Drosophila melanogaster: one gene and its partner. The protein of the gene in region 1 interacts with the protein of each later gene in a biochemical or structural test. Each region holds a gene or a part of one and is shown in the gene's direction. Other genes may lie near its edges. The genes, in order: CYLD and Ubi-p63E.

Region 1 (6,357 bases):
CGCAATGTGACTTTGAAACGCGGTGTGAAAAACTATCAAAAGCAAGGCGATAAAATGACGAGGAATAAACTGAAATATAAGCCATCTGGTGCTCGAAGAAAAAATGTGAGTCCCAATTATGCGGATGAGAGTACGGAAAGTAGGCATTATCATACATTCGAAGAGATCCACGAGCATATCGATGAGGACGATGGTCAATACCAGGCATCCGAACAGGTCGGAACACAAGCGATTCTGCACGAACATGTCGAGCACTCGAGTAAGAAGGATGCGAAGCGGATGAAGGTGAAAATCAAGCATCATCATCACCACCATCATCACAACCACATAAAGGAGCTGATCAAAACAGTACCACAACCGTATCCCGTGGAAAAGGTCGTCCATGTGCCCATTGAGAAAATTGTCGAGAAGATCGTACATGTGCCCAAGCTGGTGAATGTTACAGTTGAGAAAATAGTGCACGTGCCTATCGAAAAGATAGTGGAAAAGGTGATTCACATCCCAAAGCCAGTCCAAGTGCCCAAACCATATGTGGTCGAAAAGATAATTGAGAAAATAGTCCACGTACCGAAACCGTATCCAGTGCTCCGGACTGTTCCGTATCCGGTCGAAATAAAGGTGCCAGTTCATCTCGAGAAGAAGGTACCAGTGCCCTATAAGGTTGAGGTAGAACGAAAGGTTCCCGTTTACATTCGTTCCAGCGAGCCATATAAGTTCGAGTCATCATCACTCTACGAAAGTTATCCACGCGGCGAGGAGTTCAAATTTAACATGGAAATGGATCATCCACCGCCCAGAGAACACGAACCATCCAGCCTACCATCCTCAAACTACTACAACAGGATATACAAATCTAGGGAATTGGATCATCCTCCGAGGATGGAGGACTATCAAAGCTCCGTGCCCACACAGTTAAAGCACGATTACGCAACGAAAACTAATCTCGATCAGCAGTTTAAAAACGAGTACGTGACGAAAAGTAGTATTGATCCTCAATTTAAGCACGATTACGTGACGAAAAGTAGTATTGATCCTCAATTTAAGCACGATTACGTGACGAAAAGTAGTATTGATCCTCAATTTAAGCACGATTACGTAACAAAAAGTAGTTTTGATTCGCAGTATAACCAGGAATACGTACCCAAAACTAGCATTGAATCGACTTCTCCTGGACGGGATGGGGTTTCCCTGAAACTCGTCGGTCCCCCTACTCCTTTCAATATCACGGGAAAGGATTTGGAGACCGCCAACTCTGCTCCAGACTTTGTCAATAGCTCCAACGTAGACCTAAGTCCACAGGAATCGGCTAATGCCTATCGCGGTATGCCATTCTCCATACCATTTCAGTTTGTACAACTCCAACCAATGGCCTTTCAAAGTCCTATACATGTGGAACTGCCAATCCAATCCGCTTCAGCAGAAGGTGCTCAAAAGTGATAATCTAATCAAATGTTTAGCGTAAATAATCCTATTCAGAGAATTATTATATACCTGACAGACTTTTAAAAGACTTTTTCCCCACAATAAAAAAAATGCTAAAAAATAAGTTGCTTAATATAAAATATAATGCATATTAGAATATATAAAATTGTTTATTTTGTTGTTGTTAAAAGTTTATGATAAAATTCATAAGCAATAAAACATACTAAGCCTAACAAGCAACGACAAACAAATCGCAATATACTGTTACATATTCTATATAATAAAACCGTTTTTAAACCGTTATTACTTTGTTTTTTTGACTGTATTGTATTTTTTTGGTTCAAGATTACCCCCAACAATTGTCGATTGCGGTAAAATCGATAACGATATCCAGAATTCATTCCAATCGCATTCTAAAAGACACAAATTTTATAAATACTAAACAAAAATCCAGGATATAAACACCTTTTTATTTGTTAGTTCAATTTATGTGTGTTTGTATTAAAACTCAAACAGGGTTGCGCTAAAAACTTAATTGGTCATTTGGTATTTCAGCGAACAGCAATATTATTAAACCAATGTAGTCGCGATTGTTGTGTGTCATTGTTTTTATCAATTAGGGAAAAGTTGCTAACGAATTGTGTTTGTTATGCATGTATTTCCTGTTACTTGTTCTGTGCAGTCCTCCTTGGCAAATAAATATTTAATGCAAGATTGAAATTAGCGTAAAAACAATGGAATGTTTATTGAACTACTGTTACAGCAACCTGATGTCTCTTACATACTTACGTGCATATGTACATATGTATGTAAGCGACTGCAAACTAAGCAGTTACAAACAGAATCCGTCACATCGAGTATCATTGATTATTTCGTTTAACAGTTTTAACTCGACTGTAGAATACTCTCTGCCAAATATATAGCATGCTCTTTAAAATTTTTCATAAAAAAACACTTATGACCAATACATTTTGTATATCCTTTTTATTTAATTACTAATACAAATGTTATTATAGCCTTTAGTTGGAAATAATGAATTCCAAATCCGATTATGAAGCAGAAAAAGAAAAAAAGCTGACCATAACAAATAGATTCGGGGACTCCCTGGAAAACTATGAACTATCCAACGAGAGCGAGCACAAGACCCATGTATACCCGAAAAAGATTCCTAACAGAAAAAACGGAATTTTAAAGTACGTAGTAAAACTGTTTCAATTCATTTAAAGCTAATAATGAGCGATTTTTAGAAACACCGATGCCAACCATAGTGCCGTCGATAATCAACATCTTGAGGATGTGGATTTGGCAGACATTTTGGGCACAAATTGGCCAAAACGAGCGGGACCAGCTGCAATGATCTTAAACAACAAAAGTAAAACGGATCCTAGTAATTCTGTAGACTTAATTTTAAAACCAGCCTCACCCATATTAAAAATAGAGCCGGAGGAACCTTTACGTAAGTTTATTTTACTGTCATTTCTTCAAAAAGAAAAGAAATATATCATTATTAAGAACTAAGGAAGGAATCTGTTCCGACCTGCTACATTCTTGGTCAGGTTTACTAGCTCTCTTAATCTTAATCCTGTTTGTCCGTCCATATAAATAACGAGATCTCAGGAACTGTAAAAGCTAGTTCTAGTTAGTGGAATTACTCAAGCAGTCTTCTGTACTGCTTGCAAAAGACATTCAAATTCTGCCTGCTACATCACTCCTTGTGCTGGTTGTCTATTTTCAAGTGTATCGCACTTCTTTTAGCTGAGTAAACAGGTATGTAATAGTCGCTTCTTTCGAATATAGCGTTCACTGTTATTGAATCTTTTATTCTCGATACTTTACAGTTGTTGTAAGACTTGTATTCACTTTGCTTCCTTGCAAAAGACAACGAAATGAAAACGTCTATTTATTTATAGAACGCCGGCCAAATACATAACGACACATACATATATTCTATTTACGTTCACGTAAAACGGCAGTTCTCTGAGTTGATATATGCAGTTTGTCGAGGAGTTTTATTTGTTCTGCACTTTATCAAAGTTCTCAATTGCTGAAAAAAAAAAAAACATAAAAATTAGTAAAGAAATTAAAATTGTGCTGTGCGTCTTTCAAAAATGAATATATACCAACAAAAATTGTCTTCTGACTCGGATATCCACAATAATATTCCATTAACAGTGCTAGAATTTTATTCACCAAATTTATTGCCCGAAGAACTTGGTATGATCTATTATGAAATCGTTCCGCTTTTTTTAATTTGATTTTCTAAGAAATTAAAATTTATTTTAATTTTATTCTTGTCCTAGGTTTTACAATCGCTGATTATCAACCTCTGATTGAAATACCTGGAACCGAGCTAGCGATTGGTTCCCTCGTCGAAGTCTCGAATCCTGGAGTATGTGAAGATCTATATGGCGTTGTGAGATGGATAGGTATACCGCCTGGCCCGCAAAAAAACGTACTCGTCGGAATCGAGGTAGAAGACGAATCCAACTTGAAAAATGTAGTGGCATCGGATGGGAGACACAATGGCGTACGGTATGTCATACTTTTAAACATTTAAAACACATAAATAGGTACTCATACAAGAAAAACTCTTAACTGAAAAATATCTTCTGTGTTGTGTTTTGTTTTAGCTTATTTACTTGCCATGATGGTCGAGCTATTTTTGTACCAGCCAACAGATGCACCGCTGACCGGCGATTTGCTGATGTAGATAATAGCATTTCTGCAAACAGAGTTTCTAGTAATCACGCAAAGAAATTTGGCGTCGCTGACTGTCCTGCCATATATGGCTCGATACCACCATTACGTAAGATAACAATAAACATTTAATAAAGGAAAGGAGTTCATGCAGCTATTTGTTTTCCAGAAATACACAATTCCGATGAGCTTGCTAGCATATGTGGAAAGTTCAAAGGAATACAAGGACACCATAATTCCTGCTACCTTGATGCAACTCTATTTTCCATGTTCACTTTCACCAGTGTTTTCGATTCAATTCTGTACAGACGTCCGGGCCCACAAGTAAGTTATTCGATTTGTCTGCCCAGCTCACCAATAACAAATTATTTTATTTTCAACAGGATATTCGAAATTACAGTGAGGTTCAAAAGGTTCTGCGCGATGAGATCGTCAATCCATTGCGAAAAAACGTTTTCGTTCGATCCGATCGTGTGATGAAACTGCGCGAGCTCCTAGATCAGCTAAGTTCGGTCAGCGGTCTCACCTGCGAGGAAAAGGATCCTGAAGAGTTCCTAAATAGTTTGCTCTCACAAATAATGCGAGTTGAACCGTTTCTAAAGGTGCTTATTGTACTCATTATTGCATAGATTTTTATACTAAATAATTTACATGTTTTTTTTTTTTTTTTTTTTTTGTAGCTAAGCTCGGGGCAAGATTCTTATTTTTACCAACTCTTTGTGGAGAAGGATGAGAAGTTAACATTACCGAGTGTGCAACAATTGTTTGAGCAAAGCTTTCACTCATCGGATATAAAACTAAAGGAGGTTCCTTCTTGTTTCATCATTCAAATGCCTCGTTTCGGAAAGAACTACAAGATGTATCCAAGGATATTGCCATCGCAGGTTCTTGATGTCACAGACATAATTGAAAATTGTAGGTGTTCAACAATATAACAATTTGCATTTCGAATCTTAACAAAATTCAACTTGCAGCTCCTCGACAGTGCTCACTTTGTGGCAAACTAGCTGAATACGAGTGCCGGGATTGCTTTGGCAGCTTGCAGGCTGGATCAGGACTGGAATGCACCGCCTTTTGTCCAAAATGTCTCAAGACATTTCACAGTCACATCAAAAGGTCAGCTATCTTCATAGATAAATGAATGAAAACCAATTAAAAACCTATCTTTCAGAACGAATCATGTGTCGAAGAAGATTTATAGTCCGAAGGAATTTAAAATCATGGCCGAGCACATGGTTGTCCCGCGATTGTACATGGAGTTATTTGCAGTCGTTTGCATAGAAACATCTCACTACGTGGCATTTGTCAAGTCTGGATCCGGACCAGATGCTCCATGGTGTTTCTTCGATTCAATGGCTGATCGAAAAGGCAAGCAAAATCTTAGTTTTAACCTAACAAGTTTCTTATACTTACGCAAATGTTATTTCAGGCGAACAGAATGGATACAATATACCTGAAATTACGTGTGTTCCAGAATTAACACAGTGGCTCTCGGAAGAAGGCGCACGATCTATAAATGAAACTTCAACGAACGATAAAGTATTACCTGAACACGCCAAGCGTATTTTTTGCGATGCCTATATGTGTCTGTACCAAAGCACAGATATAATGATGTACCATTAGAGCAAATTTATCAATAAATTAAATGAATGCAATAAAATTTTTGTAAAAATCACATGTGAAATGGATTTTGTGCCTATTAATGGTTATTGGTTTGTTGAAAAATATGTTTTATGATATTAATATGGGTAGGCTTTACATATATAACAGGAAAAAATAAAGATAGGTGGTTTTCTATAACTAATATACCAAGTAGCTTATATTTTTTTTACAAAAAGTTTGTAACAATTAGGAAGTGCTTTTTGTTAGGAGAAGTTTTCAAGGTGACTCCAGAAACAGGACTGAACCATCTAGAGAACTACGGATCACTAGACCATGAAAGGCAGTTCATATTCCGGATATATATGGATGTATGTATACACGGGAGTACATACATACATATAAATCTTGAAGTGCCCACCATTGGTCGACGCAAAACGTCGGCGATTGCGATTGGTGGATTTGGAGGGAGGATATCCAGATGTTGTTCACTCGACGGCGCACATTCACTAAACAAGTGAAAAAGTTTTTCAGTTACTTGCCAGACATCAAAGACGAGTTTTACGTGCGACGCACTATCTGCGAAAATGTCGATCTTAAGCCGCGAATTTGATTTGAATTTAATTACGTTAAATTAGA
Region 2 (6,073 bases), on another chromosome or scaffold:
GTAGTTGGGGCAAGAAACCAAGCTGCAGTTCGAAGAGCGCGAATTAATAAACTTGAGCTGTGGGTTTTTTTAGTGACCACTTACTCGAACAGCTTGGTGAGGGGATTTCCATCGGCCACCGGAATCTTGCGCACTTTTGTTCCCGGCGGACGCAGGTTGCGCAGGGCAATGTGCACCGAAAAGTTTCCTAGTTCGCAGAGCTGAAAGTGAAAAGTGTGCGGCTTAGTTTGTGGGTCTGCAAATATGATTAATGGATCCCAAATATATAGCACATATAACATTACAAATTGCTTGACCAATTTTAACAAAAAGCTACACCTTTGGTATTAAGAAACAAATGTTTCGAACAAAAGCAAAGGAAACCGGTAGATTACGAAAACATATAACCCAGATCCATAAACCATGGCCGCGGATACATACAGCGAATGCCCCAAGAGCTCCCCAAACGGTGCACATGCAGGGCGAGGTGAACTGCGGATGGTTCACGTGGTAGGACACATAGGCGGTGAATCCCCAGTAGTATGTGCAGTTCTTGAAGAGATTCCTCAGCGGCATGGTGGCGTGCGAGAAGCGGTGCACGAAAATCGTCTCCAGCAGACGCTTCACATAGTGGACCGTATAGCAGCCGGCGGCAATGCTGGGGCAAAAGAGAAAAGAAAGCGGGTTACTGGGTGAACCACCATCCAAAGTTCGGGGATAATTATGCAGAGCCGTTGCGTTTTAGTTTGCATAAGCGACGAGGTCGATTAGGTCGACAATCGAAAGACTTCAGAGACTACTTTCTACAAACTCACTGGGTGGTTAGGGAAATCGGCAGACTGGCAGCTTTGCCGTACACCAACTCCGGTCGGAAGTAGAAAATCAAGTATACAATCAGTGGGCCGGCGTACTCGGCCAGGAAAACGGTCTTCCAGCCAATCTGGGGACCCAGATCCTTCACATAGATCTTGTCGCCGGAACGCAGCGACAGGGATTCCAATGTGTCCGTATCCTTTAGGCTTTTGCCCTTCAGTTCCAGACGAAGCGACTGGCGATTCGCGTGTGGGGTCTGCTTCAGGGTCTTGTGAATTAGGGCGCGCAGATCGCCGATGGGCGTGGCGCCGGAGGGCACCTTCACCTTGCCGTACGGCTTGCTGTTCTTCGCGTTCAAAATCTCCAGCTCCATTTTGCTTTCGGTGCGCTTGCAATCAGTACTGTCCAAAATCGAAAATCGCCGAACCGTAGTGTGACCGTGCGGGGCTCTGCGAAAATAAACTTTTTTAGGTATATGGCCACACACGGGGAAAGCACAGTGGATTATATGTATTAATATATTATCCAGGTTTTCATTACTTATCCAGATGTAAGCCCACTTAAAGCGATTTAACAATTATTTGCCGAAAGAGTATAAACAAATTTTACTTAAAAATGGATTAAGAAAAGCTTGTGTAAGATTATGCGCAGCGTTGCCAGATAGCTCCATTTAAAACACTTCAAAAACAATAAGTTTTGAAAATATATACATAAATAGCAGTCGTTGCCGCAACGCTCAACACATCACACTTTTAAAACACCCTTTACCTACACAGAATTACTTTTTAAATTTCCAGTCAAGCTGCGAGTTTCAAAATTATAGCCGGTAGAGAAGACAGTGCTATTTCAAAAGCAAACTAACAAGGGTCTTAAATTCCAAAACACCAATCCTAACAAGCCTTGGACTTTTGTAAGTTTAGATCAAAGGTGGCATTGCATTCAATGTCATGGTAAGAAGTAGGTCGTCTAGGTAGAAATCCTCATTCAGCCGGTCAAGTCAGTACGAGAAAGGTCTCAATTTGAAATTGTCTTAAAAATATTTTATTGTTTTGTACTGTGGTGAGTTTAAACGAAAAACACAAAAAAAAAGTGATACATAGAAATCATAAAAAATTTTAATACAAGGTATTCGTACGTATCAAAAACATTTCGGCACAATTTTTTTTCTCTGTACTAAAGTGTTACGAACACTACGGTATTTTTTAGTGATTTTCAACGGACACCGAAGGTATATAAACAGCGTTCGCGAACGGTCGCCTTCAAAACCAATTGACATTTGCAGCAGCAAGTACAAGCAGAAAGTAAAGCGCAATCAGCGAAAAATTTATACTTAATTGTTGGTGATTAAAGTACAATTAAAAGAACATTCTCGAAAGTCACAAGAAACGTAAGTTTTTAACTCGCTGTTACCAATTAGTAATAAGAGCAACAAGACGTTGAGTAATTTCAAGAAAAACTGCATTTCAAGGTCTTTGTTCGGCCATTTTTTTTTATTCAACGCTCTACGTAATTACAAAATAAGAAATTGGCAGCCACGCATCTCGTTTTCCCAATGAATTGGCATCAAAACGCAAACAAATCTATAAATAAAACTTACGTGTTGATTTTCGCCAAGATTTATTGGCAAATTGTGAAATTCGCAGTGACGTATTTGAAAATTCGAGAAATCACATACGCACTCGAGCATTTGTGTGCATGTTATTAGTTAGTTGTTTAGTTAATTGAAGTATTTTACCAACGAAATCCACTTATTTTTAGCTGAAATAGAGTAGGTTGCTTAAACAAAGCCACGTCTGAAAATTTCTTATTGCTTGTAGTTGTGACGTCACCATATACACACAAAATAATGTGTATGCATGCATTTCAGCTGTGTATACATACATGCACACACTCGCAACACGAAAACGATGACGAAGCAACGGAACAAAGGTTTCTCAACTACCCTTTGTTCCCTGTTTCTTCGCTTTCCTTTGTTCCAATATTCGTAGAGGGTTAATAGGGGTTTCTCAACAAAGTTGGCGTCGATAAATAAGTTTCCCATTTTTATTCCCCAGCCAGAAAGTTAGTTTCAATAGTTTTGTAATTTCAACGAAACTCGTCTGATTTCGTACTAATTTTCCACATCTCTATTTTCTTCCCGCAGAATAATCCAAAATGCAGATCTTTGTGAAGACTTTGACCGGAAAGACCATCACCCTCGAGGTAGAGCCCTCGGACACCATTGAGAATGTTAAGGCTAAGATCCAAGACAAGGAAGGAATTCCCCCAGATCAGCAGCGTCTGATCTTCGCCGGCAAGCAACTGGAAGACGGACGCACCCTGTCCGATTACAACATTCAGAAGGAGTCCACCCTTCACTTGGTCCTTCGTCTCCGTGGTGGTATGCAGATCTTCGTGAAGACTTTGACCGGAAAGACCATCACCCTCGAGGTAGAGCCATCGGACACCATTGAGAATGTGAAGGCCAAGATTCAGGATAAGGAGGGAATCCCCCCAGATCAGCAGCGTCTGATCTTCGCTGGCAAGCAGCTTGAGGATGGACGCACCCTGTCCGATTACAACATCCAGAAGGAGTCCACCCTTCACTTGGTCCTTCGTCTCCGTGGTGGTATGCAGATCTTCGTGAAGACTTTGACCGGAAAGACCATCACCCTCGAGGTAGAGCCATCGGACACAATTGAGAATGTTAAGGCTAAGATCCAAGACAAGGAGGGAATTCCCCCAGATCAGCAGCGTCTGATCTTCGCCGGCAAGCAGCTTGAGGATGGACGCACCCTGTCCGATTACAACATCCAGAAGGAGTCCACCCTTCACTTGGTCCTTCGTCTCCGTGGTGGTATGCAGATCTTCGTGAAGACTTTGACCGGAAAGACCATCACCCTCGAGGTAGAGCCTTCGGACACCATTGAGAATGTTAAGGCTAAGATCCAAGACAAGGAGGGAATTCCCCCAGATCAGCAGCGTCTGATCTTCGCTGGCAAGCAGCTTGAGGATGGACGCACCCTGTCCGATTACAACATTCAGAAGGAGTCCACCCTTCACTTGGTCCTTCGTCTTCGTGGTGGTATGCAGATCTTCGTGAAGACTTTGACCGGAAAGACCATCACCCTCGAGGTAGAGCCATCGGACACAATTGAGAATGTTAAGGCTAAGATCCAAGACAAGGAGGGAATTCCCCCAGATCAGCAGCGTCTGATCTTCGCCGGCAAGCAGCTTGAGGATGGACGCACCCTGTCCGATTACAACATCCAGAAGGAGTCCACCCTTCACTTGGTCCTTCGTCTCCGTGGTGGTATGCAGATCTTCGTGAAGACTTTGACCGGAAAGACCATCACCCTCGAGGTAGAGCCATCGGACACCATTGAGAATGTGAAGGCCAAGATTCAGGATAAGGAGGGAATCCCCCCAGATCAGCAGCGTCTGATCTTCGCCGGCAAGCAGCTTGAGGATGGACGCACCCTGTCCGATTACAACATCCAGAAGGAGTCCACCCTTCACTTGGTCCTTCGTCTCCGTGGTGGTATGCAGATCTTCGTGAAGACTTTGACCGGAAAGACCATCACCCTCGAGGTAGAGCCTTCGGACACCATTGAGAATGTTAAGGCTAAGATCCAAGACAAGGAGGGAATTCCCCCAGATCAGCAGCGTCTGATCTTCGCCGGCAAGCAGCTTGAGGATGGACGCACCCTGTCCGATTACAACATCCAGAAGGAGTCCACCCTTCACTTGGTCCTTCGTCTTCGTGGTGGTATGCAGATCTTCGTGAAGACTTTGACCGGAAAGACCATCACCCTCGAGGTAGAGCCATCGGACACAATTGAGAATGTTAAGGCTAAGATCCAAGACAAGGAGGGAATTCCCCCAGATCAGCAGCGTCTGATCTTCGCCGGCAAGCAGCTTGAGGATGGACGCACCCTGTCCGATTACAACATCCAGAAGGAGTCCACCCTTCACTTGGTCCTTCGTCTCCGTGGTGGTATGCAGATCTTCGTGAAGACTTTGACCGGAAAGACCATCACCCTCGAGGTAGAGCCTTCGGACACCATTGAGAATGTTAAGGCTAAGATCCAAGACAAGGAGGGAATTCCCCCAGATCAGCAGCGTCTGATCTTCGCCGGCAAGCAGCTTGAGGATGGACGCACCCTGTCCGATTACAACATCCAGAAGGAGTCCACCCTTCACTTGGTCCTTCGTCTCCGTGGTGGTATGCAGATCTTCGTGAAGACTTTGACCGGAAAGACCATCACCCTCGAGGTAGAGCCCTCGGACACCATTGAGAATGTTAAGGCTAAGATCCAAGACAAGGAGGGAATTCCCCCAGATCAGCAGCGTCTGATCTTCGCCGGCAAGCAGCTTGAGGATGGACGCACCCTGTCCGATTACAACATCCAGAAGGAATCGACCCTTCACTTGGTGCTCCGTCTCCGTGGAGGAATCCAGGCTTAAACTAAATACATTTCCAAATAAACACAATTTAGCACGCACTTCACTCTAAATAAATATGAGGAGATTATGGATGGCCACTTTCCTTTCTGCATTGTCAAAAGGGAAGACATCAGAAAAATTCTAAATTTCAGTAAACGCCATGACATAAATTTTATTAAATCTATTAAATTCCAAAATAAATGAAAAAGCTTTAAATTCGCTTATTAATTGTGTGGTATTTTTTTTAATTTGGTACTGGAAACGTTTGGTATATACTAGCACACTACATTTGGTAAAATGTAACCCTGGTTGGCAAACACGGACGCGTTAGTACCTTTTCATTATTTACCTTTGGCCAAAATAAATACTTTTAATTCTGTGCGGAAAGAAATGGCTAAATTATTGCAACGCGTAGAAATTACGTTACGCAGCTTTTACATTTTTAACTCGACTTTTGGCCAAGTTGAAGGCGAGGTTGGCAAATCAATTTTAAGGCTAAGAAACGCCCCTAATGAGTAATTTTTTTCAGGAACACAAGAAGGTTTTGTTTTACCATCCAAATGACATTGAATTAAATACGAAAATCAAAGATGTGGGACTAAGTGAGGCCATCATAAGGTTCACTGGGTATTTATGGAACTTTTTACATAGAGGGAAGTGGGTAATAATACAGAGTTTGCTGTACTTGCAGAACTTTTACATCTGAAGATGATTGCCAGGCCTTGCATACCCAGAAAACCACACAACTCTTCTACCAACCCGAGCCAGGGTATTGGTTAGTACTGGTCCTGAATGTTCCCAAGGAGGTGCGCTTAAAGGAGGGCGTGGAGGTGGCCGATTATCGGGGTGCCGAGAT

Evidence for each region.
Region 2: of the proteins of CYLD (region 1) and Ubi-p63E, one has a biochemical effect on the other in vitro, tested with the Drosophila melanogaster proteins (2 studies listed by BioGRID).

Annotation. Positions count from the first base shown.
Region 1 is NT_033779.5:10,295,302-10,301,658, reverse strand, and holds CYLD (cylindromatosis), read left to right. Parts: upstream 1-1,811; 5' UTR 1,812-1,912; intron 1,913-2,438; 5' UTR 2,439-2,454; coding exon 2,455-2,615; intron 2,616-2,669; coding exon 2,670-2,878; intron 2,879-3,245; exon of another isoform or gene 3,246-3,530; coding exon of another isoform or gene 3,531-3,636; exon of another isoform or gene 3,637-3,681; intron 3,682-3,722; coding exon 3,723-3,954; intron 3,955-4,052; coding exon 4,053-4,228; intron 4,229-4,288; coding exon 4,289-4,443; intron 4,444-4,502; coding exon 4,503-4,721; intron 4,722-4,799; coding exon 4,800-5,034; intron 5,035-5,093; coding exon 5,094-5,235; intron 5,236-5,290; coding exon 5,291-5,487; intron 5,488-5,548; coding exon 5,549-5,742; 3' UTR 5,743-5,800; downstream 5,801-6,357. Other genes in the region: CG13138 (uncharacterized protein), read left to right, coding at 1-1,437.
Region 2 is NT_037436.4:3,898,633-3,904,705, reverse strand, and holds Ubi-p63E (Ubiquitin-63E), read left to right. Parts: upstream 1-1,521; 5' UTR 1,522-1,702; intron 1,703-1,785; exon of another isoform or gene 1,786-1,851; intron 1,852-1,998; exon of another isoform or gene 1,999-2,179; intron 2,180-2,655; exon of another isoform or gene 2,656-2,853; intron 2,854-2,935; 5' UTR 2,936-2,946; coding exon 2,947-5,238; 3' UTR 5,239-5,275; downstream 5,276-6,073. Other genes in the region: Sc2, read right to left, coding at 1-22, 85-200, 421-637, 795-1,165; Ccz1 (Caffeine, calcium, zinc sensitivity 1), read left to right, coding at 5,608-5,691, 5,747-5,844, 5,909-6,073.